Nothobranchius furzeri: one gene and its partners. The protein of the gene in region 2 interacts with the protein of the main gene of each other region in a pairwise test. Links are inferred from orthologs where the notes say so. Each region holds a gene or a part of one and is shown on either strand. Other genes may lie near its edges.

What was found.
Region 1: the proteins of ehhadh (region 2) and necab2 interact in binary tests that used the Homo sapiens proteins (3 or more experiments, as listed by UniProt). The two-hybrid records come from large-scale screens. The link is inferred for Nothobranchius furzeri from reciprocal best matches to the Homo sapiens genes EHHADH and NECAB2.
Region 3: the proteins of ehhadh (region 2) and kctd6b interact in binary tests that used the Homo sapiens proteins (3 or more experiments, as listed by UniProt). The two-hybrid records come from large-scale screens. The link is inferred for Nothobranchius furzeri from reciprocal best matches to the Homo sapiens genes EHHADH and KCTD6.
Region 4: the proteins of ehhadh (region 2) and ssna1 interact in binary tests that used the Homo sapiens proteins (3 or more experiments, as listed by UniProt). The two-hybrid records come from large-scale screens. The link is inferred for Nothobranchius furzeri from reciprocal best matches to the Homo sapiens genes EHHADH and SSNA1.
Region 5: the proteins of ehhadh (region 2) and tpp2 interact in binary tests that used the Homo sapiens proteins (3 or more experiments, as listed by UniProt). The two-hybrid records come from large-scale screens. The link is inferred for Nothobranchius furzeri from reciprocal best matches to the Homo sapiens genes EHHADH and TPP2.
Region 6: the proteins of ehhadh (region 2) and cat interact in a two-hybrid assay, tested with the Homo sapiens proteins (2 studies listed by BioGRID, with this or other methods). The link is inferred for Nothobranchius furzeri from reciprocal best matches to the Homo sapiens genes EHHADH and CAT.

The regions. Positions count from the first base shown.
Region 1 is NC_091744.1:83,491,437-83,496,849, forward strand, and holds the start of necab2 (N-terminal EF-hand calcium-binding protein 2), read right to left. Parts: upstream 3,126-5,413; 5' UTR 3,008-3,125; coding exon 2,681-3,007; intron 40-2,680; coding exon 15-39; intron 1-14. UniProt on the Homo sapiens protein: May act as a signaling scaffold protein that senses intracellular calcium.
Region 2 is NC_091754.1:18,044,153-18,048,877, reverse strand, and holds part of ehhadh (peroxisomal bifunctional enzyme), read left to right. Parts: intron 1-511; coding exon 512-615; intron 616-714; coding exon 715-884; intron 885-2,202; coding exon 2,203-2,314; intron 2,315-4,725. UniProt on the Homo sapiens protein: Peroxisomal trifunctional enzyme possessing 2-enoyl-CoA hydratase, 3-hydroxyacyl-CoA dehydrogenase, and delta 3, delta 2-enoyl-CoA isomerase activities. Catalyzes two of the four reactions of the long chain fatty acids peroxisomal beta-oxidation pathway.
Region 3 is NC_091755.1:58,704,519-58,709,728, forward strand, and holds the start of kctd6b (BTB/POZ domain-containing protein KCTD6), read right to left. Parts: upstream 3,157-5,210; 5' UTR 3,028-3,156; intron 2,342-3,027; exon of another isoform or gene 2,204-2,341; intron 1,977-2,203; 5' UTR 1,904-1,976; coding exon 1,877-1,903; intron 853-1,876; coding exon 166-852; 3' UTR 1-165. Other genes in the region: monoacylglycerol lipase ABHD6b, read right to left, coding at 3,569-3,748, 3,912-4,012, 4,094-4,148. UniProt on the Homo sapiens protein: Probable substrate-specific adapter of a BCR (BTB-CUL3-RBX1) E3 ubiquitin-protein ligase complex mediating the ubiquitination and subsequent proteasomal degradation of target proteins.
Region 4 is NC_091746.1:74,034,107-74,039,575, forward strand, and holds ssna1 (microtubule nucleation factor SSNA1), read right to left. Parts: upstream 3,153-5,469; 5' UTR 3,018-3,152; coding exon 2,966-3,017; intron 2,402-2,965; coding exon 2,202-2,401; intron 866-2,201; coding exon 773-865; 3' UTR 628-772; downstream 1-627. UniProt on the Homo sapiens protein: Microtubule-binding protein which stabilizes dynamic microtubules by slowing growth and shrinkage at both plus and minus ends and serves as a sensor of microtubule damage, protecting microtubules from the microtubule-severing enzyme SPAST.
Region 5 is NC_091749.1:36,617,620-36,622,162, forward strand, and holds the end of tpp2 (tripeptidyl-peptidase 2), read right to left. Parts: intron 4,488-4,543; coding exon 4,449-4,487; intron 4,059-4,448; coding exon 3,907-4,058; intron 2,311-3,906; coding exon 2,214-2,310; intron 2,096-2,213; coding exon 1,965-2,095; intron 1,799-1,964; coding exon 1,555-1,798; intron 1,330-1,554; coding exon 1,210-1,329; intron 1,131-1,209; coding exon 1,041-1,130; 3' UTR 914-1,040; downstream 1-913. UniProt on the Homo sapiens protein: Cytosolic tripeptidyl-peptidase that releases N-terminal tripeptides from polypeptides and is a component of the proteolytic cascade acting downstream of the 26S proteasome in the ubiquitin-proteasome pathway.
Region 6 is NC_091754.1:44,626,664-44,631,388, reverse strand, and holds part of cat (catalase), read right to left. Parts: intron 1,591-4,725; coding exon 1,452-1,590; intron 1-1,451. UniProt on the Homo sapiens protein: Catalyzes the degradation of hydrogen peroxide (H(2)O(2)) generated by peroxisomal oxidases to water and oxygen, thereby protecting cells from the toxic effects of hydrogen peroxide.

The DNA of each region.
Region 1 (5,413 bases), on a different chromosome or scaffold from region 2:
AGAACATCACTCACCATCTTTGTCGGCTCTTCTGAAGATCTGTGAACGACAGAAAGAAGGACATTTTAGTGACAAACAGAAAGCATTTCTCTAAACACAACTTATGTTTGGGAAATGTTTATTTCACATTTACATTTAGGTTCTAAATACTAAATAAAATGTGCAAATAAACCAAGATGGTTAATAAAACCAATTATTTTGAGAGTTCTCTTTTGTAAGTACAGTAGCGTATCATCTGCTAAACAAGAATGTTTCCGGACTAAAGAACGGAGCGAACCTTTCAACAACGTTCCAAAAACCTCTCAGCATCTGATTATCCAGTTTGTGTGAGTTCCTATAGATTTTCTGCAACAACTTAGTACAGAAATATGAATTTTTATTCACAAAAGTACTTGATCAAACCAGTTTGAACCAGTAACCCACCAGGTATGAAGTCCTAACCTGAGACACATCAAGCACTATTTCTTAATCTTGTTGTATTTCTTAAAGTAACACCATATCTTATTGTTTTATTTAGTTTTAAACTCAGTATTTTCAATCGTTAGTTTTTCATATTTCAAGCCTAAAGAGTTAAATTGAAGCATTGTGTGTCTGAAAACAGCCTCATCTAATAAATGTTAACACCTAAACACTGGATTATTTCACAAATCTGTAATTTCTTTAAACATTTATTAATAATTTAAATTAGCTTTAGTGTAATTGTTTTTCAAGGTGTCCCTCAGGGCTTACTTTTGGGGTTTCTTCTTTCTTGTTTGGGTCACTAAAATAATGTTGTTTCTCACCAGTGGAAACTACTTATTATTCTTGCCTCCAAGAAATAATTTAAGCAGAAAATTAAAAATAAAAACCTCTATGGAACCCATAGATTCCCGTTTTCAGGAGTTTAAGGAGGGAAACCTATAAAATAGTGAATGTTTGTGTCATAAACCTCCTTCCAGCTGACAGAAGAGTCATGCTGGGAAAACAGAAACCAGCTGGTGAATAACTGGTAACGGATCAGACTGAATCCCACACAGCTGGACCGGAGTTAGCTTACCACACCAAACCGAACCAACCACAGCTGCAGCTGAACAAGCTGGGAGTGAATCTGAATCATTTTAGGGAAAGCTCCCCCCTCCGAGGACCTTCAACGTTTTAGAATACTTTCATCATGGAGGTTGAGGATGAGTGACACACGAGCCACCGGCAGGACAAGACGTGCTGAGTGATCATGAGATGCATTTTAAAACAATATTAAAGAAGATATTTGTAGAATAAAACGAGAGGATGTGATCTTTAGTCACATATTTTGAATTTGGTCTGGTTGGATTAGTCAGATTACAGGAAATCTAAAAAAAAATGTGCTTTTCAAAGACATGATCTTCTGAATAAGATGAATGTTAACAGTAGTGACCAAAGTCAGAAGTTAATGGGCAAACAGATCGTGACGACCCAAAAACTTTTTTTTTTAGTTTAGTCAGCTAAATTATTGCACAGAAACTCATCAAGACATTTTTGTGACTAAACTCTTAAATAAAGGGCAACAGGAGCTGAAAGAGCCGCACTCCAATTGAAAAGCTGCTCTGCATCTGCACCCTGGGCCATGTTCAGCTTCTCAGAACAGAGCTGGAGCTGCTGGAGTCAGGGAAGCTTGGGAAGGAGGGAAAGAGTCTCACTGAGGAGGAGGAGGAGGTGATGGTGAAGAGTTACAACAGAAAGAGACAAAAAAAACACGACTAAAGAGAAAGACACAAAGAGGAGGCATGCCTTCACCTTAGGAATATGCTTCTGTTGGAAGAGAGGAGACGGAATAATAAATGGGTTCACGGTAGACTCAGAGAAGGAGAACAAGTCGGTCTAATGAGGGAAATGCTGCATTCAGGGACACACCAGGAAGCCCATTTGGTGTAAAGTAAGAATATTGGGGTCAGATATGCTGGAAAGGGGCCAGAAAATTCACGTTTGAAAGGTCAAAGTTATGCAGAAAGAAGAAAATGTCAGAAAAAGTTCAAAGGCTGGTGTCAGAGACTCAGCTGGAAACAGTTTTAGCTGCCAGGTAGTTAAAATTTGTGTTTTTATATTCTGGTTTTACTTGTTTTATTGGCTTTAGTTTGTTGTTCTTTAACTCTTATCCTTTTTACTTCTTATGATATGCACGACTATTTTAGCTTGTTTTTTATTTATTTGTCTTTATGTCCAGCGCTTTGGTCGGTTGTAGTGCCGTGTTAAGAGCGTTCTACAAATAAAGTGGTATGGTATGATAGAGAGGAAAAAAGAAAAAAAAACGTTTGAAAAATCTTAATTTATAACAAGTTGGGGGGGGGGGGGGGAGGTCTACACAACGTGTTTCTACGTTTCTTTTCTTTTTTTCTACTGAGATCAACTCGTTTTAAAGCACAGTAAAATAAAACTGGGCTGACCTGAACACCAGAAATGCTACAGGCACGCAGTTATCACTCTGAAGGTTAACACAGGAACATGTCTGCAGCGCAGTTGGAGAGCCTCAGGATTTATGTGGACTGACAGTTAAAACGTGCAAAGTTTGAATTTTCTGATATGGTGCAGATGCAGAGGAGAGGGACGCCGGTTTGATCCCGGACACCTAAACTGTCTGTGCGTAAGTGCGCACCGCTCCCTGGATGTCTCCATGCACCCACCCGCTCCTGGCGGGGCTGGCCGCCTCCCGGTGCCTCATACTCACATCCAGAATCACCGAGATGCCTCTCCGCGGCTCGGGGGCGAAGAACTGCTCCTGGGCCACGGCCACCTCCTCCTTGCTGGAGGCGTACTCCCGGCTGGAGACGTTCTTGTTGTCGCTCATTTTGGTGACGATCCAGCGGACGAGCCCGTCGATTCCACCGGGCTGGGCGCCGCTGTTTCCGGACTGCGCTGCCGTCGCGGACTCGCTGTCCTGACCGGCTACGGGGTTCGGCTGCTCTCGGCTCTCCTGGGCTCGAAGTTTGGCTTGTTCTTTGTTCAGCAGTTTGTGGACTCCGTCCCTACAGTAGCGCGCTGCCTGCTCACACATCCTTTTGCTGCGGAGCGCTCATGCTGCGCTCTATGGGGGAGAGAGAGGCGCTCCCACCCCCACCTCCTCTTACATCACAGCATCCACCCCAGAAGCACCCGCATCCATCCTGTACCCAGTAGCATCTGAATTATGACTTAAACACTTCTGTTTGGTGCATCTAAGGATGAAGCCTTTGGACGTGCATCGCTCCTCTGGGAAAAAGCAACACAAAAGCTGTTTCTTCCCCCTTTAAGGTTTAGTGTGTAATCTGAACAAAGATGCTCTTCCTTTAGACCGCAGGAAGTGCTGCATCCCAAAGGGAGGATCAGAGGGCTTTAGCAAAAGGAGTCCCCTGAACTGTCACTCCAGCTGCTCATTAGAGCTTTATGTGCATGTGTGATGTGACAGATCTAACCTTTAGTAATGAGAGGCTCCCCAGCCCAGCCCTTTCCGGCTGCTGGAGAGACTTTTCTTCAGTCCGCCACATGTCCAACAGCACCAAGCAGCTGGTTTGGACAAATTAAGACATGCTGGGAAGTTGACAAAATAACTGAAAGGCTGTGAAGTGAGTAAAAAGACAAATAGATCTATATATCTCAGCGGCCCCATGACAGCAGGAAACTAAAACCCAGTCACTTGACATGATTGCCCCCATGTGGAACTGAGCGTGCAGTGGCAAGAGGAGTTTTCTTGCTACTGAACAAATGAATTAAACCACATTAATCACCTACATTTTTTAAATTTTAACCTTTATTTAAATGGATGAGTGGATTGAAAACTCATTCTCCTTTACAACGACGATCTGGCCAAGAGGAAGCAGCAGCAGTTAGCTTTACACCACAGACAAAACAGGTGAGATAAAATTCTGATAAAACAGTTAGGATTGTTCTCATATATAATGTGTAAAATCAGTCGAAACAGATTTAAAACTGTCTTTAAGTACTCAGAAGCACATTGATCAGAAACTATTGATCCCCATGAATTATTGAAGGTAGATAATGGATCGTGTGAACTTCAGTGATTTTTTTGCAGCGCATTCCAGTCGTTGGAAGCAGCAAACTGGAATGAGGAGCGGCCAGAGGAGGTGCGAGCTTTGGGAATAACTTTAGAGATGAAGCTACTGGAACGTAAATTGCGCTGGTTGTTGGAAGTGGAGTAATGAGCAGGGGTGGACTGGGACCAAAATTCGGCCCTGGCATTCTTACGAATTGCCGGCCCTCCCCATTGGGAGAGCGGTGGGGGTTAGGGGTGTGGCTGCCTGCGGACTCGTCTCTAAGCCGAATGTGAGCTCTAATATGGACTGGGACTGTTAAATTACAAGCAGGGCCAGTCCGCCGCGACCGGGAGCCCTGGCCTTCCGGATCAGCTCATTCTCCACAGGCGGAGATCAGCGGGACATTAGCTACATGCTAACGCTGTAAAACAACTCCTACGTCATCGCTCTACTGGGTTTTTTTTTTCTAAAAATGCCTGGAAAAACTCTGTTAGCTTCGGGTTACCATGTATGTTCTACAGATCACCAACTGTGTAGTGTCAGCCCAAGCTGGGCAAGCAGCCCACTTGGCTAAGCGGCCCACCGGGACAGTACCAGAATGCCAGATAGGCCAGTCCACCCCTGGTAATGAGCGAAGATATCACGGTTTCTACTGATGATTGTTTTGCATATGAACTGATGCCGATGTAACAGCCTGCAGGAATGGAGCGATGGCCAGTTAACGAGTGTCTACAGATCACAGTGATGAGTAGTGAAAGGGGCACCAGTGACCAAATGGATTGCTGAGTGATAAATGACATCGAGTTTATGAAGAAGCTTTTTGGAAACAGCCGTGGTTCCCAACCTGGGGTCACCGTGTGCGGTTACCAAGATTATATTTGTAAAAATTACATTTATAAAATCCAGATTACACACCTGTAATGTTAATAAATGGTATGTTTGGTTAAGTAAATTGCTTTAAGCAATTTATTATTATTATTAACACCACTTGTGACCAATAGCTGTGACACTCAACATAAATGGCCTGTATTTGATATAGCGCCTTCTAGAGTCCTGGAACCCCCCAAGGCACTTTACAACACAATCAGTCATTCACCCATTCACACACACATTCACACACTGCTGGGGATGAGCTAAGATGTAGCCACAGCTGCCCTGGGGTGCACTGACAGAGGCGAGGCTGCCGAGCACTGGCGCCACCGGTCCCTCCGACCACCACCAGCAGGCAACGTGGGTTAAGTGTCTTGCCCAAGGACACAACGACAGCGACAGACTGAGCGGTACTCGAACCTGCAACCTTCCGATTACGGGGCGAGCACTTAGCTCCTGTGCCACCGTCGCCCCATAAATATAGAATATCACCTGCTTGGTCTTAAGATGATTAGTCAGAAGATTCTAGGATTTTTTTATTCATTGAGGGATCGTACACA
Region 2 (4,725 bases):
GTCGGTGCATTCTCAGGAAAATTGTCCAGTCATGTGTAATCATCTACAGCCATATATAATAAACCGAAGTATTTGTATTAAAAACATGAAAAATTGCAGAAAAGGCTTTATTTGCAGTTTGTATCTTTTAAATTTTAATTAACGAAATAATTCATGTAAATGAATTTTACTAGTAGGAGTAGTGTTTTATTTGTAGGGCATTGGTGTTGCTACTCTGTTACGTAAAAAGGCTGAAGGCAACTTTCACCTCTGTCTCTAATTGTACTCTAAACTGTGCCTGGTCAGGCGTTTCAAATCCTGTTAATTTGTAAACCGTCTGAGTGGAATACAGAACACTATTTAATCATTTACTATGTAATGCTTGTCTCAGAGAATAGCTTTGTCTTTGAGAAACACTTCATTTACATTCAAGAATCCAACCATCCATATGATAATTCTGTTATAATAATAATAATAATGATAATAATGATGATGATGATAATCATTATTATTGTCCTCATCATCCCTGCAGTGCGGTGGTGAGGCAGAGTCTGATTGACTTGATGGACAGAGCTCTCAGTGAACCAGAGGTGAAGTCTGTGGTCATCTGTGGGCAGAATGGAAAATTCTGTGGAGGTATGAACATTAATAAGGCGATGCACCTATAAATATATTATTATTTAGAATATCTGATGATTTCTGAAAACATCAATGTGTTTTATTTTTGTATGACAGGCGCAGACATCAAGGAGTTCAGATCAGACATGACTGGGCCGCCCCTGGTACCAATGATTGATCGATTGGAGTTGTCATCCAAACCAGTGGTTGCAGCCATAGAGGGTGTCGCCCTAGGTGGAGGCCTCGAGTTAGCACTTGGCTGTCACTACCGTGTCGCACACTCTAAGGTTAGTTTACGCTGCAGAGATTCGGTCTGATGATTAGTTTGTGTCTAACATGACAGATTGTTTAAAGGGGACATATTACGTAAAACCCATGTTTTTTTGTGCTGCTATGTGGGTCTCTACTGCCTCTTTAAAAACTAAATTTAAACAAAAACACATCAATCCATTTTCTGTCAGTGTTTGGTTTTTGCAATTATGTGTCTAAAACAAGCCGTTTCAAAGCGTCTTCATTTGTGATGTCACAAATGGGGAAATTAGCATAGAACTACCTATCACATACAAGAGGGAGCTGCTGCTGGAGGAGCAGAGCTTCTCAGCTTATAGTAGCCATAGTGGGGGATGGGTGGGCGTGGCCAGCTTGTTTTCTTAAGCCCTTTTAACAAGGCACACTGTGCCGGCAAATAAGCGTAATATTAACGCAAGGGTGTGTCTATTAACGCGCATGCTGGTATAAGGATGTGCGATATCTGCGGCATTCATTCCGCCTCACTTGGTAGCCATATTGCAGTAATAGTCATATAAACGGCCATTGCACCTTGGCGCAACAGAGGGAGGTGTCATGATTACGTGGGGAGTTACTGCTGAGTTCCGGCCGGCAACTATAATGACAATGAAAGTAAAAACCTGCAAGTTTTGCATTTGTAAAGGGAATCAGCTGAGATAATAATCTGGAGCAATGCAGAGCTCCTGGAGCTTTTCTTCATTAGAGCTGGAGGTTAGATCACCGGAGACTGCACGGGGACTGTGGGGGACACACACCTTTAGGAGCAGCTTGTTAAAAAGACTCCAATGAGACACCTAACCCACCTTGCTTGCTAGTGGTGGTCGGAGGGGCCGGTGGCGCCAGTGTGTGACAGGCCTCGTCTCTGTCAGTGCGCCCCGGGCCAACTTTAGCTACATCGTAGCTCATCCCCACCAGCATGTGAATGTGTGTGTGAATGTCTGATTGTGTTGTGAAGCACCTTGGGGGGTTGTAAAATCCTAAGATGGGGCTATTCAAATACAGGCCATTTACCGTTACGGTCTAACCACTTGTAAAGTCTTAAAGCTCCCTGATGCCGATATGGCGTGGCAGCAAATTGGCAGCATTCTTTTGTAAAAGAGGCTACAAAGTGACAGAGCCATGAAACGGCTCATTCAGGAAGGCACTAAAAATGTCAAGAATACATCAGTAGAACTCGTTTTATGCGTGGAGAGTTTTTTATTCGACCATAGAATTGTTCCATCTTTAGATTAAAAAGTCTAATGTCTCCTTTAAGTCGTATGACAAAATTAGTCTTTGGAATTAATCACACATGAGTTTGGTGTTTTGCCTTTTTAGACCCGGTTAGGACTTCCAGAGGTGACTCTGGGTCTGCTGCCCGGTGCGGGGGGAACCCAGCGTCTGCCGAGGCTCGTTGGAATCCCAGCAGCCTTGGAGCTCATCACCACAGGTAAAAAAAAGAGAGGAACCTCGTGTTGCATATTTAGTTCTTACAATTGACTGGTAGTTAGGAGTAATACATTCTGGTCCAATCTTCTTAGAGACAATTAAATGTTTAGCAGAAGATCTTTTTCTTCTGGGTGGATCATCTGAATCATTGGTCCGCATAACTGTTACAGTTTTTCTCAATTGTTTACACACATTTTCTGAAAGCATGCCCCATATTTTCAGAACTCTACACACAAATCCAGAAAATACACACACACTTAACCTGCAAAAGTAAACTTCACATTCAAAACAATGTAATTTCTCCTCAAAATGTGATTATGTTGTCAAATGACACGCACAAACCATCATATAAATAGACATTTATAAGAACCAGCAGAACACTCGTGCTCAATGTTAAACACTATGATGAATGGAAAACACTTCTTCTCCATTCATCATAATGACTAAAGCCTTTTTGGTTCAGTGTTACACCTACAGACAGTAAAAACATGCATGTGTTGTTATTTCAGAATATTGTTGTTACACTCTGAACACACAAATACATGGTAGAAATGATTTTATTTTTCCCACAAAACATTGTACACAATGTTTATCCCATTCCCAACCAACACAAAGTTGCACACATAAACTACATCCAACAGAAATTTACTGTATACAGTTACAGTAAAACACTAAAGCTATGCTGCATCCTCTCTTCTGTTGCGGTCTGGCCACAGCGCCTCATCCACATCACAAGCAATGTTGTCCCTGGCCAAGCAGCGGGGGAAGTATCTCCTAGCATGGCGATTCCAGCCATGAAAAGAATCAGCTGCTATATCTCCACATGCGTCCTCCATAGCTTGGGGAAGAGGTATACGGGTTTGTGGCTGTCGGTCATACACCTTCCATCTCCATGCAGAAAACAATTCCTCAATGGGATTGAGGAATGGAGAATATGGAGGGAGGTAAACAACTAAAAAGCGTGGGTGGCCAGTGAACTAGTTACAGTATGAACCACAGCAGCCCGGTGGAAACTTACGTTGTCCCGAATGACAACGTACCTGGGCTGTTCTGGACCATCTACCTGGTCTGGTGGAATGAGGGTGTTGTGTAGGGTGTCCAGGAATGTGATCAGATGGGCGGAGTTGTAGGGGCCAAGGGTAGCATGGTGATGGATGATGCCATGGTAGCCAAGCGCTGCACACATTGTGATGTTCCCTCCGCGCTGGCCAGGGACTTCAACAATGGCACGCTGGCCAATGATATTCCTTCCCCTCTTTCGTCTTTCTGTGAGACTGAATCCAACCTCATCAATGAAGATGAACTGGTGCTCCCCTGCAGCTGCCTCTTGCTCAAGGACTCTCTGAAACACACATGACAATATCAGAAATAAACGTGGAGTGGTCACTAGTGTGAAGCACAGTCATTATGATTACTATATTGAAACATGTATAATTTACTGTACACAGTGTTGAGTGTATGCATCAATTGCGGGACTCACTTGTTGCACATAGTTATATCGCAATTCTTTCACTCTTTCTGAGTTTCCTTCAAATTGCACCCTGTTGACCTGTGGCTCGGATCTCAGAGATTACGGTCCTTGGTCTTCCTCTTCCTCACCCTCATCCTCCCCGTCCTCCTCTTAATCTCACTCCTCTGGCTCTGCCTCTGTTTCCAAAGTTGGCATCCATTGCTCCAACACAGAAGAGCTCACCTGTTGCCCTTTTATGCTAAAGTTCTGTTTGCTGATTGTAAAACTGTGTGACAGGTGTTTGCCCTTGTGATGAGTCAGTGTGCTCATTTGAATAGCAGTGTGTTCCTTGTGAGAACAAGCTAGTTCCTGTATGGAAATTGTGCCAACAGCAGAGAATTGTGTGTAGTGTTTTGAGAAAAGTGTGTTTTAAATTTGAAATTTGAGTGCAAAGCAGGAATTGTGCTTGTAGTTTCGCAAAATTGGTTAGGGGGGTTGGTTACTTGGTTACATGTTGTGGTAATTGTGTCTCAAGTACCAGAAAATGTGTGTAAACAATTGAGAAAAACTGTAATCCTTCTGGTGAAACATTCACGCAAGGCCGTCGTTGTAAGTGCTCCATAGACGCCTCTGTCGCCGGTTTCTGCTCGACGGTCCTTTTAAACTATTCTCCAAAGCAAAGGAGCCAAGGCAAAGAATAATCAGCTGAAATGTTCTCTGACTGCACCTGAAGGTTGTTTTTGCCACAAAAGGAGCTTCCAATTAAGTTAACTCAAGGACTTCAAATTATTTTTTCCTCCTTTGAAGGTCTATATTTTATTTTAAGGTGTTAAAGGTTCAATGATTTGCTTGTTGTTAGTTTATTTGTGGCTTTAGTTGTTATTTAACTGATTGGACCAGATGTTATAAGGAACTACTGCAGAAATGTAGCAGCTGTTCCACAGACAACCAGCAGGTGGCAG
Region 3 (5,210 bases), on a different chromosome or scaffold from region 2:
CATTACTGTCTCAAATCTCATCCATTTGCCCCAAAATTTCCAATATCACAAACAACTGTGTTAAGTTTGGAAAATAAATCAAGAATTAGCTTTTTTTTTTGCTGTCTTGATTTTGAGCTTTGTTTTATAATTATTTGTGTAGTGAAATGGTAACTCCAGCAGATATCAGTCTTCAACTTTGTGAGCTGGTCTACAAAAAGTCCAGTGATGCTCAACTGTGTTTTCGTTTGCACGCTCACTCATGTGATGCACACGCGTGTTCCGGATAGTGAAGCCCTGTTTCATGATGTAGTCCATGAGATGAACCCTTAAAGACACCTCTTGATGATAGTCACACGGTCCAAAGGTAAACGATACCTGACAGTCCCTGGTGTCCATCATGTGTTTGTTCCACTTGGTGAAATTGTTTGAAATTCCTTCAAGCAGCGCGTGAACTTTGGTCGTAATAGTTAGCTGTGTGATGATCACCGCAACTGGGTTTGAGTATTTAGACAGTTTCCGAGTGCTAGAGAGCTCCACGACTTCCTCAAAGATGTCGGGAGGGTACAGCGGTTTGGGATCATTAAGGCACTGGATCAAAGGTTCGATCTGGTAGAAGTCTGCCTCCTTCCTCAGCAGGTCTGTCTCTGTGAAATCCACAGGAAGGGTAAGCTCCGATGTTCGCAGGAAGTTAAGGATGTACCGGAAAAGTGTCCCGTCTCGATCAATGAAATAATTCCCTTGGGAATCACGAGTTGTGGGAAAATCACCCCTGAACATGGCACCAAGCATAGAGTCTGGATAACGCTGCAAGGTGGACAGACTAGTGGTGTACAGGTGGCCTCCCACATTCAAGGTAACAGGAGTGGTCATCTAAAGGAAAATTGTTGCAAAAGTGAGAAATAATATTAATAATTTGTAGTTCTTCAAGAATAAAAATATATTGTTCAAAACAGATTTACAGGAGAAACTCAGAAGATTTAAATGTGGTGCAAAAGTTATTTTATTTCACTAACTGAACTTAAAAGGTGAAACTAATATACAAGATAGACTCATTATAGGGCTGGGCGATATAGCCTAAAGTCAATATCATGATAAATTGAGGATTTCAACTCGATAACGATAAATGAATAACTACAGGTATGCGGAGAAACAAAAGTTGTCCACTAGATGGGGCTGTGTCACGTGTATTACATTGGGACACATTTTTAGTGACAAGGTGGTACAGCTTCTTAAAGGGACATGAACGTTGCCAACCTACACACATCTTTTCATTTATTTATTATCAAATTTATTGACATGGGAAAAATTATCTCGATATGAGTCAGAAATTTTGATAACGATACATTTTCGATTTGTTGCCCAGCCCTAACTCATTATATGCAAAGCCAGATGTTTCAAGCCTTTATTTGTTATAAATGTGATGATTAGGGCGTACAGCTTATGAAAACCCCAAATTCAAACATTAGAAGATTGTGAAAAGGTTAAGTAAAATCAAAGTGTCACACTCTAATCAGCTATTGGATCCAGAACATCTGCAAAGGGTTCCTGAGTCTTTAGATGGTCTCTCAGTCTTAGTTGGATTACTGAAATAAATATACTTTTGCACAGTATTCCAATCTTCCAAGTTCTCCCAGTATATTAAATTATTGTAATCTAAATAAAAGTACACATGATTTCATTATTTTTTTTATCATTGATGAGTTTTATTTTTTCCTCAACATCTTTTGTTGTTATTAATTTCGCTGTGGACATCCTTTTATGCATTATTGTTCTACAGCACTTTGGGTTGCCATGACTTGAAAAGCACTGAACTAATAACCTTGATTGACTGATTATCAGGAAGAAGAACATTATTAACATTGAGTCTTCATTTCTAACCACAACCATAACATACCTTATGGCCCCAGTCTCCATTATCCATTTGTGGAAGAATACCGACTTGGTCAGAAACAAAACAGAAGGAACAGATGACAATCTGCACACTTTACATTTATCTGTGGAAGAAAACAGCCACATTACTACAGATTAACTTAATTTTGCACACACTTCTCTGTACGTATGTTAGATTTTATGAACAACATTGTAGAGTAGCTGATTGATCAGCTGCAGTAAATCTTACGTAAAATGTTTGGTTGTTAATCAGAGAGAACTTCAACAGTATATCAAACATAAACAACACATGCATATGTCTGAAGAAACGGAAAACCAGATTACTACTCACTGTGGATTTTTATGTGTCCCAAACATATTTATCAGATTATCCCATGTGATACTTATAAATGTAGTCCTCCTAGTCATCTATAATAGACTAGAACAGACTTTATTAATCTCGCCGTGGGGAAATTCACTTGCTACAGCAGCACAAACACTTAGAGAAAAGGAATATGAAAAATGCTGATGCTCTTTACAGGAAATACCCTGAAATAAAATGGTCTGAATGTTAGCGGTTCCTCTGCAGCACTGTTGTGACCAAACAAGGTCAAATATAACAAAAGAGGGAACATCTGCATTTGCACTGCCCTCGTCTTTATCACTATGAAAGAAGTGTTATCTCAAACGTAATTTCAACAACCAGGGTTTGAATTTTATAATCGAGAGGTTCTGTTACTTCTACAGCAACACCTGTACGGGGAAAGAGGAAAAGCCCACCACACCGCTTTAATTTATAGCTTAAACTGACATCCTGATTGCTAATACTTAAACGAAAGGCGACGAAATACACAAGTACATCTCTCAAGCAACAAAGTGTATTTTAAAGTGAATTGTGTTACAGTTTAAATAGTATTTTATGCTGCTTTATCTGAAGCGTTAGTAAAAGTGAGTAATGGTTAGCGTAATGATTGTTAGCCTAGCTAGGCTGCTAGTTAGCAAGCTAACACAACTAGCGATACATAAACAACTGCGGCTATCAACAGGATTTCCTTTAGGCTATCTGCGGATAAGAGCAGAACATGACCGGGTTTCTTTGGTGTTAGCTTTTGTGTTTTGGGTCCAATAAGAGTGGGCTGTGGTCAGCATTTAAAAGTCAGTGAATGTGGGTCGTACCGTAGCAGCTGTGGTCGGCTTCAGGCTGCAGAAACACTGTCCACAAGGAGGATGAAGGACAAGGAGGAAGAGGTCTTGCTGCAGCCTCCTAGCATGCAAAAGCACACATCCACAGAGAGCGGAACGGGCTTACATGGTACAGAGGAGGGGCCCAGCCGACTACAGGCTCCTGCAAAACTATTAAACATGCAAATATTCACAAGAGGCAGTCCTTCAAATGCCCATTCAGGTGAACATCCTGCATTTTGAGACCATTAGACAGTGGCATTAAGTATTGACTAACACTAGAATCAATCTAATATATTTATGTTGAATATTTGCCTACTGTGTTGTCTATTATTCATTAAAAACATGAACACGAAGACACAATAATGGAAGCAAATCCATATATGTGTATTATCCCAATCCACTTTACATAGAAATGTAACTCAAGCAATGTTTGGACACTTCATTCTTTATTTCAGTTTTAATGTGCAATTAGAAGTGGTGTGTGACTGAACACACGCAAGAAACGGCATCAAAACAGGATGTGATTTAAGATTCAAGAACACTTCTTTGTGCCGCTCCCAGAATTTTGCTGCAAGATGATAAACTCCAGGAGAAGTTTGGCTGTGCGACATGGCTTTTCCATCACCACAGAGTGCCCACAGTTATCCAGCAGGTCCACTCTGCATCCAGCCACCCACTCTGCAATAACATTGGCTCCAGAGACGTCCACGACCTAGACACATTTGAAACAATAATTATTTTATCCATCTGACATGAATTACTTCATGTTAGCATCTAAATCCTATGCATTTATTAGAATCTCATAATTTCTGTGAAACACCAAGCAGTTATCTATGTTTTTATGTGGGTCATTGTGTTATTTTTAAATCACTTACCTGATCTTGTTTTCCCCATATTACTTGCAAAGGGGTAGTTATGAGATGCAAGTGTTCCTGCAAGGCATACCTTGATTTTTCACCAATAATCTCCATAAACACTGATGAAAGAATATTTCTGTTAGTTAAATATTATCTTTATTGTGTTGTGGCGTACATTATTCAGAGCACTGTGAACTAACCTTCTTCGTAGAATGAGTTATGAGGTTGTCGAACATCAACCAGCCCTTGAAGAATCTGAATAAAAATTCACAGGTTTAAACTATAAAATGATTAACCTTTTAATTTTTCATTCATATTATTTTCTTTTCACCTTTTTACTAATTCACAGATGAGCAAAGGGCTGCCACGTAAACGGGCAGACATCACATTCACACCTGAAGTGGTCTCTTGCTTTAATATTCTCCTTAATGACAGAACGGAGGAGTGGACCCACACAAACCACACATCAAATCGGCCAGCTCAGTCTAGGGAGAGTCATACTACCTGTCTTGGTCTCCTCATGGACATGGCCTCTAAACAAGACAACATGGCCACTCTCACTACTGTCTTCAACATTTTTCCTTTCATTCTTGCTGAAATCCTTTCAACACACATCTCACCTGACACTTTTCTCCAACCTGCTTCATACACTTCTTCACCTCTTTTTTACACTCTCTGTTGCTATGGACAGTAGGCCCGTGCCCTAAGTACCTAAAGTCCTCTACCTTCTTTACTTCTACTCTCTGTAACATCACCCTTCCACTTGTGTCCCTCTCATTTACACTCATACCATACCATACCATACCATCTTTATTTATAAAGCACATTTAAAAACGGCATGGCAGCCGACCAAAGTGCTGTACAGAATAAAAAGTAAAAACACAATATAAAACAATACACGGTCAACAATAAAATGCACAACAAGGCAGATAATTAAAGTCAATAAAAAGACACATAATAAAATAATAAAAGTCAGGGATTTAAAAATGCCTGGTCGTAAAAGTGAGCCTTCAGCAGCGATTTGAACTGGAGGAAGGATGGTGCCAGCCTCAACGAAAGAGGAAGTGCATTCCATAATGTCGGAGCAGCATAGACAAAAGCACGCTGCCCCCGCATTTTGTATTTCATTAATGGAACACGAAGCAGCAGGCAATCAGCAGACCTCAACGCCCGGTTTGGCACATATCTAGTGACAAGATCCGACAGGTAATCCGGTGCTAGACCGTTCAGGGCCTTAAAAACAAAAATCAGGATTTTAAATTTGACCCTAAAGTTTACGGGTAGCCAGTATCTGTCCTTCTGTGACTTACTTTCATT
Region 4 (5,469 bases), on a different chromosome or scaffold from region 2:
AGCCAAACGTAATGAATTAAGGTGGTTTTGATTAATAATGCTGAGTCTTTATCTGCTTTTATGATCGTTCTGCCTTTAAAAGTCAAGCAGACACATTTCTGACATGAAGACCCAGCAGGAAGTATCTCTGAGCTCCAGTTCGACTCAAACATCTGGACTTCAGTGCCTCGGTCATAAAAAGGCGGAGCGTTTGCTGCCAGCGCGATGAAACGTTCGGCCTTATCGATGATCAGAATGAAAATCAATCGTTACTTGAAGTGTCTGATTTATCAGCAGCGATGTGAAGGTTTTAGTAGCTGTGGTGTTATCTGGACCTGCTGTGGTGACTCGCTCGTGGTCATGTAAACCCCCCCCCCCCCAATCACAAAAATCCACTGATTGTTTTTTCTGACACCAGCAAGAACTTCAGCAGAACCAGAACCTGGACCTTCTGTGTTTATGTTGGACTCTGTGGTAGAAACTCCACCTCATCCATCGTTCCCCCCCCCCCCCCCCTCCCCCATGTCTGTAGATCTCCATCAGCTGATGTGCTTACCTGTAAACTGTCAGTAACTGGGGCAAATTAAAAAGATGATGTCATACTTGTACAAAGAAAAGCTGAATAAACCGACAACCTGAACAAACGAGTCAGCGACTTATTTATTATTCTGTCACCAAACGAGAGTTAAATACATTTATTATGTTGGAGAAAGAAAAAAACATTAGAAGCGGTACAAAAGAGTCCTTAAATGTGCAAAAACGTCTTTCTGTGGTTGCCGACGTCGCCTCGCCGTTAATGATCCCTCCTCTGAGGCTCCGTGACCTTGCTGAGGTTTCCTGCTTCCTGCTTCAGAACGCTCAGAAGTGATTGGGAACTTTCTAAAATCTGTAAAAAGGATAAAAAATCAACAGTAAAACACGTTCACGCTGAGATGAGGAGGAGAGAAGGGCTGCGGGTGTCCTTGTTGTTTTATAATTAGAGCAGAGCAGGAGTGTGTTTTCACTCGTTTAAGGCGGAGTTCAGCAACAACACAGAAACACGACGAACCTTCAGCGGTGGCCTAATCTGGTCTGATCCGCCTGATTTATCTGACAGACGCTAAAACACGGTTACGGGATTAAACACCAGACCCAAGGATCTAGACGATGTTCAGGCTGGTGTTTCTACTAAATCTGCATCTTTCGGACTCTCGCGTTTACTTCACTTACCTTTTTGAGTCATTTTCCTGATTTTCTTGTGATTTTATCCACATAAAAACTCTTTCTTCTTAGACCTGCTCTAAACTTCCAGAGCGGTTCATGTGGCATTATTTTATAAAACCTTAAACAAGAGCGAGGGGACAAACTCCTTTTTCCGAGGGCCGGTATCCAGCATGTTTTAATCAGCTCCCTGCTTCAACACACCAGACTTTATTCAGTAGGTGATTAAGAGGCTTCTGCAGAGCCTGATGAGTTGCTGAGCAGGTGACTCGAGTGTGTCGGAGCAGGGAAACAACAAAAACAGGCTGGGTACCAGCCATCTGGGAAGGGAGTTGCCCACTCCTGCACGAGAGGATAAATTTCCTGGAATATTATCAGAGGAATTTGGCACTTAAAGGGTAAAACAGAACACCACGGGAACTGACGTGACTGCTTTAAGACAGCTTGCACCCTGTGAATTTGTCTCAGACTAGCCGTTAGCTCGTCTATCCCTCCGAACAGCAGCCTGGCAGAAGGCCATCTACAGTAAGACAACGAAACAAATGTCTGAAATGTTCCTCTAAGTCACGTGGAATCATCGCTCGATGGGGCTAGCCTTGTTTTAACCCCACGTTGCCATGACAACACGTTTTATCCTGGTAATCGTGACGAAACAGTTGAATTTATCTCCCTTCTACACTATTAAGCTCGTTGACTTGTTGGGATTTGGAATTATTCTGGTAAATCAAAGCTACGCTCCTCTCATTTTTAACAAAAACTTTTACAAAACCTCATCAGGTTCAGGTTAATAATGTCCAGCCGTGGTCCTCCAGGGCCACCGTACAGCCGATTTGATTTGTTTCTCTGCTTCAACACATCAGGTTTTAATCAGGAGGCTTCTGTAGGGCCTCATGAGCTGCCGAACAGGTGAGTAAACCATGGAATCAGGTGTGGTGGAGCACGAAAACAACTGAAACATCTTGGATCAGAGTCCTATGGGAGCAGAGCCGGAGAGCCCTGATGTAGACGGAACCAGGACACACCTTGGCGTAGGCAGCTTCTGTCTCAGCGATGGTGCGGTCCAGTGTCGTACGCGCTGAGAGTCTTCGTGCCAGGCTCTCGTTGACCCGGCTCAGTTTCTCAGACAGAACACGGATGTCGTGCTCCAGACGTTCCTTCTCATCTTCCTCTTGACGGATCTGTCGGTTTAGTTCCTCTTGCTTTGAGCACAGCTCCTCGATACCTGACAGGAAAATGAAAGCTTTATTACACCTGAAGTGGCTCTGATCCAAAAACACGAGCTTAGCTTTACTTTATTCAACTAAAACATCAATCTAACATTTCTGATGGCTCCCCAGAACAAGAAAACTGTGTAAACCAGTCAGAAAGTTTAAAAAACTGCCGCAGGAAGGCCGCACGGATTAACCACCGGGTAGGAACGTTTAAAGCACATTAGTTCCGCTATGCTGCTATTTTTAGTTGTTTTAGGGTTAAATGAGGATATTAAAGAAACGCAGCTATAAGCAGTATTTTTTAATCATATGGCTTTAATAAAGCTCAGCTTTCATGTGGGTTAATCTGATGGTGGTCCAGATTAAAGCAGACATGTAAAAAACAACAAACCAGATTAAAACACTAAATTACACACATAGTGTTAAATTTAGATACTTTTTACATACATTTAAATGTGGCGTTTGGTTAAAATGTAATTAAATTCTAGAGCTGAAGCAACTTTATCTATTTTCCGAACATTTTATGAGTTTAAATCAAGAAATAAAGTATTTAATCCTTCAAACGAGTCACTTACACTTGACAAGTTCGTTGTTGTAGGCCTGGAGAGCGGCGCCTTGCTGAGTCATCCTGGTAAAAGTGGTCGACTGAAGCGAACTCAATAAATCTTGAGAGAAAAAGGTTAAAAGAGGGAAATGTGTCTCCGTTCAGCGAAACGTTTTAATTCATCAGGCAACGGCGGGCTTCCCACCCCCTGAGAGCTCTTCTTCGTTGGAGCTAAACAGCGGGGTTGACTCACTTCCGCCATCTGGTGGATGAAACGTGAAGTGCGAGCTCCACAAAACAAAAACAAAGCCCACTGTATTTCCTTTGGTGATAAAAAACGTGAATAGTTCAATAAATTAATGAGTAAATGCAGATAATTAATTTTTCTAGGTCTCTGATGTCCAGACTTTGGTCGCTGAGGACAAACAGACACACAGAAAATCCTGCTGGCCACAAAACTTACATTTCTTTATTGTATTGTGAAAGTTCCATTGAAATGAATTAAGCCTTGTTTGTATAAAATGATTTCTAAATACCTGTAGGTACAACACACACACACACACACACACACACACACACACACACACACACACACACACACACACACACACACACACACACACACACACACACCAACAACAATAACTAATGTTTTGGATCTGATGCGTCATTTCTTTTCTAGTTTCCTGGTCTGGAAAAATCAGCTGCTGGATTTAGTCAAGTTTTATGAACGCTGAAAAAGATAATAGTACCACGGATGAGGATACGGCAGAAAAATACAAACATAAATGGTAAAGCAGAAGTATAAATGTAAATAAAGATAGATCATCATGATTAAAAATTGAATCCAGGATTCCCCAGGAGCAGGTGACACCATGCCATACTTTTGGATCCAGACTGTGTACACTGGTGATGTGGGGCTGAAATTCTGGCCATCTCTCCTGAACACAGTCGTTGTGTTTTTAAGCATCAGTTAACTAGTTACAGATAAATGAATAAGAAAAACAAATGTTTGATGCAGCAGGAAGGAGGCATAGAAATCTAGACAGACAGTAGCAGAAGCAAAATTATTTTGCTCTGCAGGTTGGTCTAGCCACACTGTACTGGAGCCTTAGCAGGCCTGACCAATCACAGCGCTCTATCAGTTTGGTGGGTGGGATGTTATTGCGATAGAGCAGAAAAGCTAAGACAGAGGCAGATCATTTGAAATGGTTTTGGCCTCAACTTTGGACTATTTAGATGGCTTCTTCTTTGAGTCAAGAACAGACAGAGGTACTTAAGTCCTTCATTTAGAAAAAAGACATATGTGTGTCTTCTTCGACAGAGTATGGTGGACTACCTTGTTGACTGACATCCGTAGCAGTGAGAGTCACTTTGTTTGTTGTCCAGTAGAATGCAGAGGCAGTTTGAAAGGCAACAATAGCTTTCACCCCACGACTGAGCTCTGTCTATGGGTCATGGTCAACCGACATATCCACATATATAGGATGGCTAGCCAGGGTAACAGGAAGGTACAAACTATGGTAGCCTGCCTGCCGCTTAACTTCAGGGTTCATTTCAAGATCCTGGTTCTGGTCTATAGGGCCTTACATGGACAAGCACCATCTTACATTGGTGATCTTCTTAGTCCCTACACCCCAAGCAGGTCCCTGAGGTCCAGTGACCAAACCCTACAGGTTGTGCAGCACCAGGCTAAAGGTCAAAGGTGACAGATCATCTGCTGCTGTGGCCCCCAGACTCTGGAACTGAGACCAGTAGACTCAGTGGTCTCCTTTAAAAAGCAGCTGAATACTCACCTGTTCATAGCCTAGTGAACTAGACCAAATTCTTGCATTGCAAAGAATGGTCTAGGCATGCTCCATTGGAACCTCAGCAGCTCCTACCAGGACTCTGGCTAGCCAATCACAGCTCTCTAGAGGAGTTTCAAACATATTAAGAGCTGTGATTGGTCCATAATGGTGGGCCAATCATAGTGCTCTATCTGCTTAGTGAACAAATCACAGAGCTTTATCCGATTTGTGGGCCAATCAGGGCACTCTATATGCCTGGTGGGTGGGACGATGCAACAGAGTGAAACAAGAGTATGTCACATTCATTGTCCAGTAGCATGCGGAGATCATTTGAAAGACAACGGTAGAACCCGCCCCACAACCGAGAGCCGTCAATGGAGCGTGGCCAGACTAAATAATACATTTATTTAGTCTGGCTTGCCAGGCTAACCTGTTCATGCTTTGGTGTGACCTTCACCACTCTCTCCTTATTCTGATCCTACCTATTCTGCCTTTCCTAGCGTTCCACTCATGATCTATTTCTTATTCACTTTCCCTTTCTTCACATTTTTTTAATCACATTTTTTTTACTTCTCCCAGTTGTGTGATGTTTAAAAATCATTTTTCAATCTTGTTATTTTTAATATTTTTTATTTTGTTCTTGTGAAGCCCCTGTGATTTTTATCTTGAGAGGTGTGTAACATTCTTAATTTACATTTAATAAAGGACCACAAGACATTAAAATTTCATATCTAGTATGAAATCC
Region 5 (4,543 bases), on a different chromosome or scaffold from region 2:
TCTGTTAAATCCAAACAAAAAACTCTCATTTTCACATAAAGCTAGCCTTTCTTACACCTCTACTAGACATGCGTATATGCAAAATACATCGATTAAGATTACATCTGTAGTATACAACTATTGCATCTTAATATTGTGTGTTGTGTGTGTGTTTACATTATTCTTATGACACTGTGTACACATGCAGCACGCTGAATGCTACACTGGTAAGTTCTTTATATCACTGTGTGAACATTAAAACATGTGATCTGCTCCGAATGTCCTGTGGTGGCCCACCGCTGCATTATGTTACTGAGGTCGGGTAGAGTGTGGTTTTACTGTAGCAACCAGAAAAAATAATGATAAAATCATGCTGCGGAGTGTTACAGCTTGTATGTTCGACTCTTAGATGCGGATGAAGATGACCCACGTGTGGACGGAGGCTAAGATCTGTGCAGCTTCCCTCTCATTTTCATTTAATCAGAAAAGGTACACAAAGAAAGGCACCTTGAGACTGTTTTTGTGTTTGAAGGCTAAACATACACCCTAAACTTGGCTGAAAAAAACAAAAAGTATCTGTCCAAGCCTTTTTTTTTAAATATCAGAAAGAGTCTGTTTGGTCTTGTAGATCAAGTCCTTCTCTCTTCTTACTAAAGCATTAACACAGCCAGGCTCAGGGTCACAGGCTGTGTGGAAAGACTTCTGATGCAGCCCTGACGTCCACACTATCAGTTTTTACACTATTTACACAAAAAAAAGGTCGAAATGACAAATTGTCCTGAAAGCCGAGGAAGATTTGTAGATAAATGTAAGTTGGTGGAATTTTTTAAAGGTTACGTTCTGGTTCAATTGACTTCATAACATCTCAAAAAAGCTTTGAAAGCCTCAAATTGTTTACTTTTTAGTTTGGGGTTTATTAACGTCTGCCTTTAAAAAAACCAGACAACATCTCGGGAGGCAGCTGGTTGGTCAGATGCACTGAACATGTGACCTGGAGGTTGTGATGTCAGAATTATTGGGACGTTTATGGCTGCCGTGCTCATGCGGGTGGGTGTTTGTGCCTAAAATGGTGTAAAGTCAGCAGGGTACATGATGGGAAGCCAGTTCTCACTGAAGGTGGCACAATGTGTCCATCCGAGATGACGCATGAGCTGAAAAACAAAGCGTAAAGTTATTTTACCAGAAGCATCTAGAAAAGAGCCGATAAGCTGACGGTGACGGCTCTGGTACCTGGATGCAGTTCTTCATGTTCTCTCTGCTCGGCTTCTCCTCGACCATTTTAGAGGCGTATTTTAAAGCTCGGCCGTACATCTTGTTCACCAGGGCGTGTTTGTATGAAAACATCAAAACCTAAACGATGAAAAAACATGAACGAAGTTTGTCAACATATAATAAAACTGAATGAATCACAAACATCTCACAGCAAAAGCATTTTTGTTTTTAAAACTTTTATTTAAAAAAAGAAAGAAAAGAAAATCTGAATAATTACGCAGCATCTGTCTACTTTAATACATTTATGAAACACATTCCCAAAAGAGTAAGTCATTGTTTTGATGTCTAAAGTACTTTCATCACCTTGGAGTCCGTTAGCTCTGCCCACTTCTGCACCTCCCAAAACGTATCAGTCAAGGCCTTCGTCACGTTTAGAAGGGTGTCTTCAGAGCTGCTGGCCACCTGCTGCTCTGCAGCCTCACCTGATGCTGCCTGACCAGCACCAGCGCCGTCCTGCGTTGCAGAGGGCACCAGGAGCTGATCTGCCAGGGCGCAGCCTTTCCTACACAGTGCGTCCAACAGAGATGACTTCTGCTTCTCCATGTCCCTGAAACACAGAGGCTTGTTCACACTTCTGCTGGCAGTTAATCCTACATTATTTCTTGACCCATAAACTGATTGCTACATGAGATATGTAAGAATCAGCGTTAGATACTTGAGGTTTGCAATAATGGTGCCGAATCCCAGAAACATTAAACACGTCTTTAACATACGTCTTGATAGAAGCGGCCTCGGGTCGAGGATCTGTTTTCATGCTGAGGTAAACAGCCAAGGCGGTTTGGTCGATGTGGGAGATTACAATGTCTGCTGCAGACACCACCTCCGCCAGACGCTTCCCTCGTTCCTTAACACAAAAAAAGAGACAACTGTCAGCAAAGATGGTTGAACGGTTTAGATTTTACACAAATAAAAGCATTTCTGAGAATGTGCTCTTCTTTGTCGGGTAGGGTTAGGTTACGTACCTTTTCTAAGTCCAGCTGATGCAGCCTTTGCACGTGCAGTGGAAGGTAATCTGAGTAGTTTTCAATCAGTTCATCATAGATGGCGCTGGTTTCCAACCTGAAAGGGTGGAGAATTAAAACTAGAGGCCGACCGATGTATTCAATTTTTTCCTATATCGGCCAAAATTATTTTTGAAAGCTGATAAAAATTCTTTTTTTATTTAAATCAGGTGCCTTTTTCATTGTTTACACCAAAGGGAATATTCCACCCCTAAAGCCGGGCGTACACTGTGCGACTTTTTCACTTTTTTGAGCCGATTTTCCACTCGTGCGAGAATCCACAAGATCGGGGCGAGTTTTGCACCGAGCGTCGTGTAGTGTACAGGGGGTTACGAGAGGCGATTAACACCACATGACCAGCTACCGAACAGCAGTCGTGAGCTCGCACGGACTTCTGGTGTGTTTGATATTTTGCTCGTCCCTCGTGAGGGTATCGCACTGTTGAAGCGGCGCTGCGAGCAGCTGCGACCCAAAAAGTACCAGAACTGCTCACGGCGCATGTGCAATAATGCATCAACACCGCTCGCCCGCTATTTCCCTAATAACACACGTTGTTCATTTTTATTTCTACACGTTTTTTACTCACAAAGATTGTCAAGAAAGCATGTTTGTCGTGTTCATGTTAAATTAGACTGATCACAAAACACAGATTTACTTTCTTTATTTCGTTTTCCTCATCCAACCCCCAAAAATCCCTGTGTGTGTGTCCCTGCAGCACTCCCGAAGGACAACAGGCAAAACAAGACAAAAAAGTATGATGTGTAAAAACTGCTATTTTTAGCATATTTTTAGGTCCGACGTGTTGCTACCAGACGTACAGTGTGAGCTGTCAGGTCGCATCCAAGAACTGGGTCGTGCAGTGTGAGCACACGACTCCTGAGATCTGCCCTGCGAGGAAGTCGTACAGTTTGAGCTGAAGCTGAGTGCTACGAGTGAAAAAGTCGCACAGTGTCCGCCCAGCTTAAGTAAAATTGTGTATATTAGATTTCCCAGAGTTAGATACGCAAGAAAAAGGATTTTGTAGCTAGCAAGCTCAGTCATTCTCCTGATCTGGAAGCAGTAAGTTTTGCTTTAGCTTAGCATAAAACAATGTAAGTAAAAAGGAAAGCTCTATGCTAGAAATCCTTTCTCACTTATCTAGCTCTGGGAACTCTAACAACAGACGCAGCTTCTGAGTGAAATATCTCTAAGTTTGGTGTCTAATGTTTGCACTATTTTTATGTATAGTTGAGATTTATTTTTTTACTACAGTGTGGTAGTGTGCTTTACTTTGTGGTTTTTTTACTTGAATATTCTACCCGGGCCAGCCACTATTTTGCACCATTATTCTGGGTACCGTTTGATTCTCTTTATTTTAAACACAAGAAAAAAACTTGAATCCGTTTTATTTTCTGTCGTTCTGAAACAGGGTTAATAATGTTTGTTAATGTTTTGCGTTTGCTTTACATTTGAAGTATAATAAATATTAAGAGATTTATTTACTTATTTCATTTACATTGCACAGAGTGAGTGTTCAGTTGTTTTCCACAATCAATGTGCTGCTTTATATATCAGACTTAATAACTGGCTTTAGATATTGGCCATCGGCCACAAAATTCTTTAAAAATTGACATCGGTCGGTCTCCAAATTAAACCTGACAAAAACAGTGCTCACTTTGTCATCCACTGAATCTTTAAATCTCTCATGGCCTCAGCAAACTCATCCTTCACTTCCTTCTCTTTGTCTCCATCCTTGTCCTTCTCCTTACCCCCGTTCTTTGATTTATTAGGAGCAGGAATTAAGTGGTAGGTAACTGGAACAATATCCTGTACAGACACACACAAACCAAAAAAAATTTGATCAATAAAGTATTTTTTGTAAAAACAGGACATCCAAATCCAGCATCTCAAATGCTTCTCGTCTCCCTCCCGCTGTCATAATTTAAAACACCAAACTCTCACTGTTTTTTTCTGCTCAGATCAGCTAGGAAAAGTACATTTTATAATCCAGTGCTACAGATTTAAAATAGTAATATTAATAATTGTGTCGACCACCAGAAATACAAAGCTAATGCATAAAAACGACTATTTGCTTATTTCAGAACAGAAATACTGACATGCTTGGACATAAATGCAGGTGTATTATAATAAGCTATTTCCTGACAGAAAGAGAGCAGTGGGCGCTCTGTTGTTCAGTGTTTCTAGCTCATCCAGTACCTTTTGATATTTTCCTTGTCGTTTTGCAGAGGCCTGCCCCTGGTGGTCAAAATAACACACAGTAAGGAAGAGACAACACAAACACCAACCAAATA
Region 6 (4,725 bases), about 27 Mb from region 2:
GGTGTCTGCGTGTGGACGGACAAAACCGGAGTTTTAAGGTCTGCAACGTCACTTTCCGCGACAAAAAAATGCTGACATCACGTGTGCGACCTGTGTTTACACTAGCCGACAGCATGGAAGCCTTCAGAGCTGCGCTCTGTCACTACCCGATCCATCAATTGTCCAAGCGCTTTTTGCTTGTTTGTTTTTGCAAGCGGAATTACTGCTCCTTGCGGAAGACCACAGACGAAGGACGAGGTTAAGAACGGGGGAAGTACTGCCACCTACAGGTCTGGCATGTCCTTAACAACGTATTTATCCGGGTACGTGTGGACAGTTTTTTTTTTAAACGAGGTGGTGTGGATGCAAGTTTTTGGAGGGGCGGATATTCATTTTCTTTTTTTAAACGGCTACGTGTGGACTAGGCCTTAAGACTAACAAAAACGTTCTGAAACAAGCAAACAAAAAAACACCAGGGGTCTCATTTATCAATCCTTACTAAACCCGTACTTAAGCTCAGCGCAAAAAAAAAAAAAAAAAGTACTTACACCAAGTAGGTTTGTGATCTATCAAACATGGAGTACACACAGCTGCACGCAATCTCCGCTTCATAAATCAGAAACTATCTAGACCGTTTCTCAGCTGCATTTTAGTCACATCCCTCCCTCACCACGCCCACTTACTGCCATAAATAATCAATGCAAAGTGCCTTGTGGATCTCATGCATATACATAAGCCGGCTGTTGCAGCGCTCCACCAATGGCAACCGTAGATCAAGGCAGATCAAGGAAGCGCCATTTCACAGAAGCAGAAATTGAGGTACTTGTGGATGAGGTGGAGAAATGAAAGGAAGTGCTTTTGCAAAACAAATAAGAGAAAATCCATGAAGTGGCACAGCGTTGCTGAAGCCGTTAATGCTGAGTTCTTCAAAGAGATCTGTGGCGGATCCCCAGACTCCCGGGTGACAGTCACGCGCGCTAACCAGTCAGCCAAACAGATCTCCCCTGTACAAGTAGCCAGGGTGATCAATCGGGTCACAGTGACAGGACACACACTGTCACAGACGCATGACATTCTGTCTCAATCCGTCCCCCTGTCCGTATTCTGCGCTTCAGGCTGTGTGTGTGTTTGCGTGCGCCTGCGTGTGTGTGTGTGTGTGTGTGTGTGTGTGTGTGGTCTTGTTCTGTGTGAAAACGAAGAGTACAAGTGATAATGCTGCATGATTTCATAATTGTATCCTTCTCAGCAGCAGCACTGCAGGTGCTCTCCATGTCCAACATGTGTGTAAGCCAGGTCCTTAGTCAGCTTAAAGTTGCACATTTTTCTGCTACGTTTTCTTTCATAAATCCCAAAGTTTGCGTGGAAAGTTGCTTACGCAGTTTTCAGACCCCGTTTTGTGCGCAAGCAAGCTTGATAAATGAGGCCCCTGGTGTCCATCTGAACCCTAGAAACGAGAGAAAACCATGACTGACCTTGGTTGTCAGTGATGCACATTGGGCCATCCCGTTGGTAGTTGGCTACACGAGCCCTGTATGGACAGTTGACTGGGAGCTGCAGGTAATTTGCTCCCAGCCGGTGTCGATGTGTGTCAGGATAGGAGAAGAGCCGACCCTGTGTAAAGACAAAATGAAAACAAACACTTTTATATCAGCACTAACCATCTGCGACACATACCGTGTTCAGATGGTAGCAAGGCTCGACACCTACGATAAATTGCCTGTGTTTGTAAAGCTCCTTCAAGGGTCCTACAACCCCTAAAGGCACTTAACACAACCAGTCACTTATTTATTAACACACACATTCACATCCCGGTGGTGATGAGCTACAATGTAGCCACAGCTGCCCTGAGGTGCACTGAAAGACGTGAGGCTGATGAGCACAGGCGCCACCGACCACCAACAGCAGGCAAGGCTGATGAAGTGTCATAACCAAGGACACAACAACTGAGAAAGACTGAGTGAGGCTCAAACTTGCAGCCCTCCAAATATGAGGTGGGCAGTCAACTAATTCTTTTATGGTGGCCGGGGAAAGTGAGAAGCTGAGTAGGAGTCATCCTAAAGAAGAAGAAGGCTGATGAGTCTAGGAATAATGATGAATGCTGTTAGTGGCGATAAACCCAAAATGTAACCAAACAGAAATGTATGACTATGACCAAGGTTATCGTGCCCATGCCAGTATATTCAGTGTTCTTTAAAAAATGAAAAGTGTGAAGGTGTGTGACGTTCACGTCCCTTTAAGATGTTGTACTACAGACTCTACCCCACCCAGTCTGCTACAAGTCTGAGGATATGGAGGATTAGTCGAATGATGGAATGGTGGTGGTAGATCTGGTGAAGGAGGATAAGAGATGTTCGTTTCCCCCAAAGAATGCTTCCATCGTTCTGCAATAAGTAATTAGGGTCCATGGTCCAAACAAGCAACGGACAGAGTGGAATAGAGGGGAAAAAGTGTGTGAAGCATTGGGTGGAGAAAAGGATTTCAGGTGTAGAAGACCGTAGTGAGAGCAGTGATGTCTGGTTTAGAGACAGTGTCCATGAGGACAGGACAGGACACAGAACTGGAGGTTCTCTTTGGGAGTGACAAGGATAGGATCAGGACTGAGTCCATCTGAAGGACAGCTCTTGTTAGAGGTTGTAGAGATAAAGTCAGAGAGGACAGACAGACACTAGGGTTGCAATGATTAACCGGTTCGACTATTAACCACGGTGTGAAACGGTGCGGTTAACCCACCATAAAGACGTCTCCAACACAGCAAATTAATCAGCGTGAGATATTGGAGGTGTGGCGTGAGAGCGTGTGAAGAGGCGTGCGTCTCATGCTCAATACGTGAGAATTGGCAGCCCTGAAATGAGCTCCAACTGAGTCCGATTATGTAAGCGACTGAACGGATATACCGTAATATTAGAACAATGACTGTGAACGACGGTTCATATTGTGTTGTTCTACGTTTCCCCTGTATCTGTCTACAGCAAGCCCTATGACAAGCCATTTTAATATTTAATCAACACCTCTGTACTTCCTGTGCAACATAATAACATAATTTATCCTGTCCAAATAATATTCTTACTGATGACACTAGAAGATATGAACAAGTAGAGATTACAATAATTAATAAGCAATATTCATAATAACAACTGCACTAGTAGGACTTTAGCATCTTAACTCATGAAGGTGTCTCCATCCTTCAGTGCTAAACCTGACCAGCTGTCAACAGTTAAACTTTTTTGTCTTTTTACAGAAACTCAAAAAGGCTATTAGGCAAATATAATTAAAGGTGTGGTTCACTGAAGTAAATTTTACTGATTATTTCTGATAGAGTTTTTCATGCAGGCTGAACATGAAAATAGTCTCCTACACCTATCTCCTGCATTAGCTTCTGATAGAAAACAGACTGTGAAACTCTAGGATTAGAAAAGCCTGACAGATCTACGTCACACTGTCACTAACATTCATGGACTGACCCATCTTGAGTCACGACGGGGAAGCCTGTTGTTGGTTTAGCGTCCAGGAAAACCGCAGAGAACGTCTCTGCTAGTAGAAGCTAACCATTAGCATTAGCTACTCCACCACACAGCAGAACTCCTCCAGGCTTGTGTTATTTGTGGAGATAAAACATCAATGTTGCAGAGCAAGCAGTCAGTGGTAGAGTGAATTTTCCTAAGCAAAATCTCCGAAAACAATATTTCAGGGATTCAAAACCTTTAAAGAATCTAATCGTGCCTTTTATCTGTTATTTATAGAATGTGTGTGCTTTATTTACAGATGTGAAATCAGTTCATGTAAAATAATCGTGAAACTGACTATTTCTCTGACTATAATCAAATCACCAACATTTATAATCGTTGCAACCCTAGTTTGGACACGTCCAAAGGAGAGGGGCGTAAACAAAAACACCTGAGTTTATCACAAACAGTATATATATAATTAACTATCAATAATGGAACCTCAATGGAATTATTTTTTTCTATCATTCATTTGGCTAAATCTAAAACATCTAGTCATCTAGGTGTTGTGGTTTTGGAGCTGGACCAGTTCTAATGTGGTCTAGACCAGGAGTGCCCAATCCTGGTCCTCGAGCGCCGGTATCCAGCTCGTTTTAGTTTTAACTCTCCTTCAGCACACCTGATTTCAATCAGCAGGTGATTAACAGGCTTCTGCAGAGCCTGATGAGATGCTGCACAGGTGACTCAACCAGTGTGTTTGAGCAGAAAAACCACAAAACCTACTGGACCAGGATTGGGCACCCCCTGGTCTAGATGCAAAAAGTGCTCAAATATTTGATCGTTCACATATTAAAGGTTAAAAATATAAATAAATAAAACAACAACCGTCTAAGTATTCTGCTATTACTGCAGAATAATCTGGTCCAGATTTGAAGGGTCTAGGTTTTGTAATTAGAGCAGATTAAAGATGCTCAGGGAGTGGAAATGTTAGAAATGACCTTTCCAACACTGAAACTAAAAAAGGGAACCCACTTCAGCTTCATCTGTTGTAATATTTTATTTTAAATATGTTCTTAATTAAAACAAATGAACAAACAAGCTAAATGTTGACGTCAAAAAGCAACCTCAGGGTAGCTGCAGATTTAAGGGAGCCAAATTCAAGACTTTTTAAGACCTTTTTAAGGCCACTTTGACCAAATTTAAGCTATTTTAAAAATTAAATTTAAGCGATAATTTCCAGCTATTGCCTGGAACCGGTGCTAACCATGTCGCGAACGTGGGATTAGCCATCCAGTTACCATTA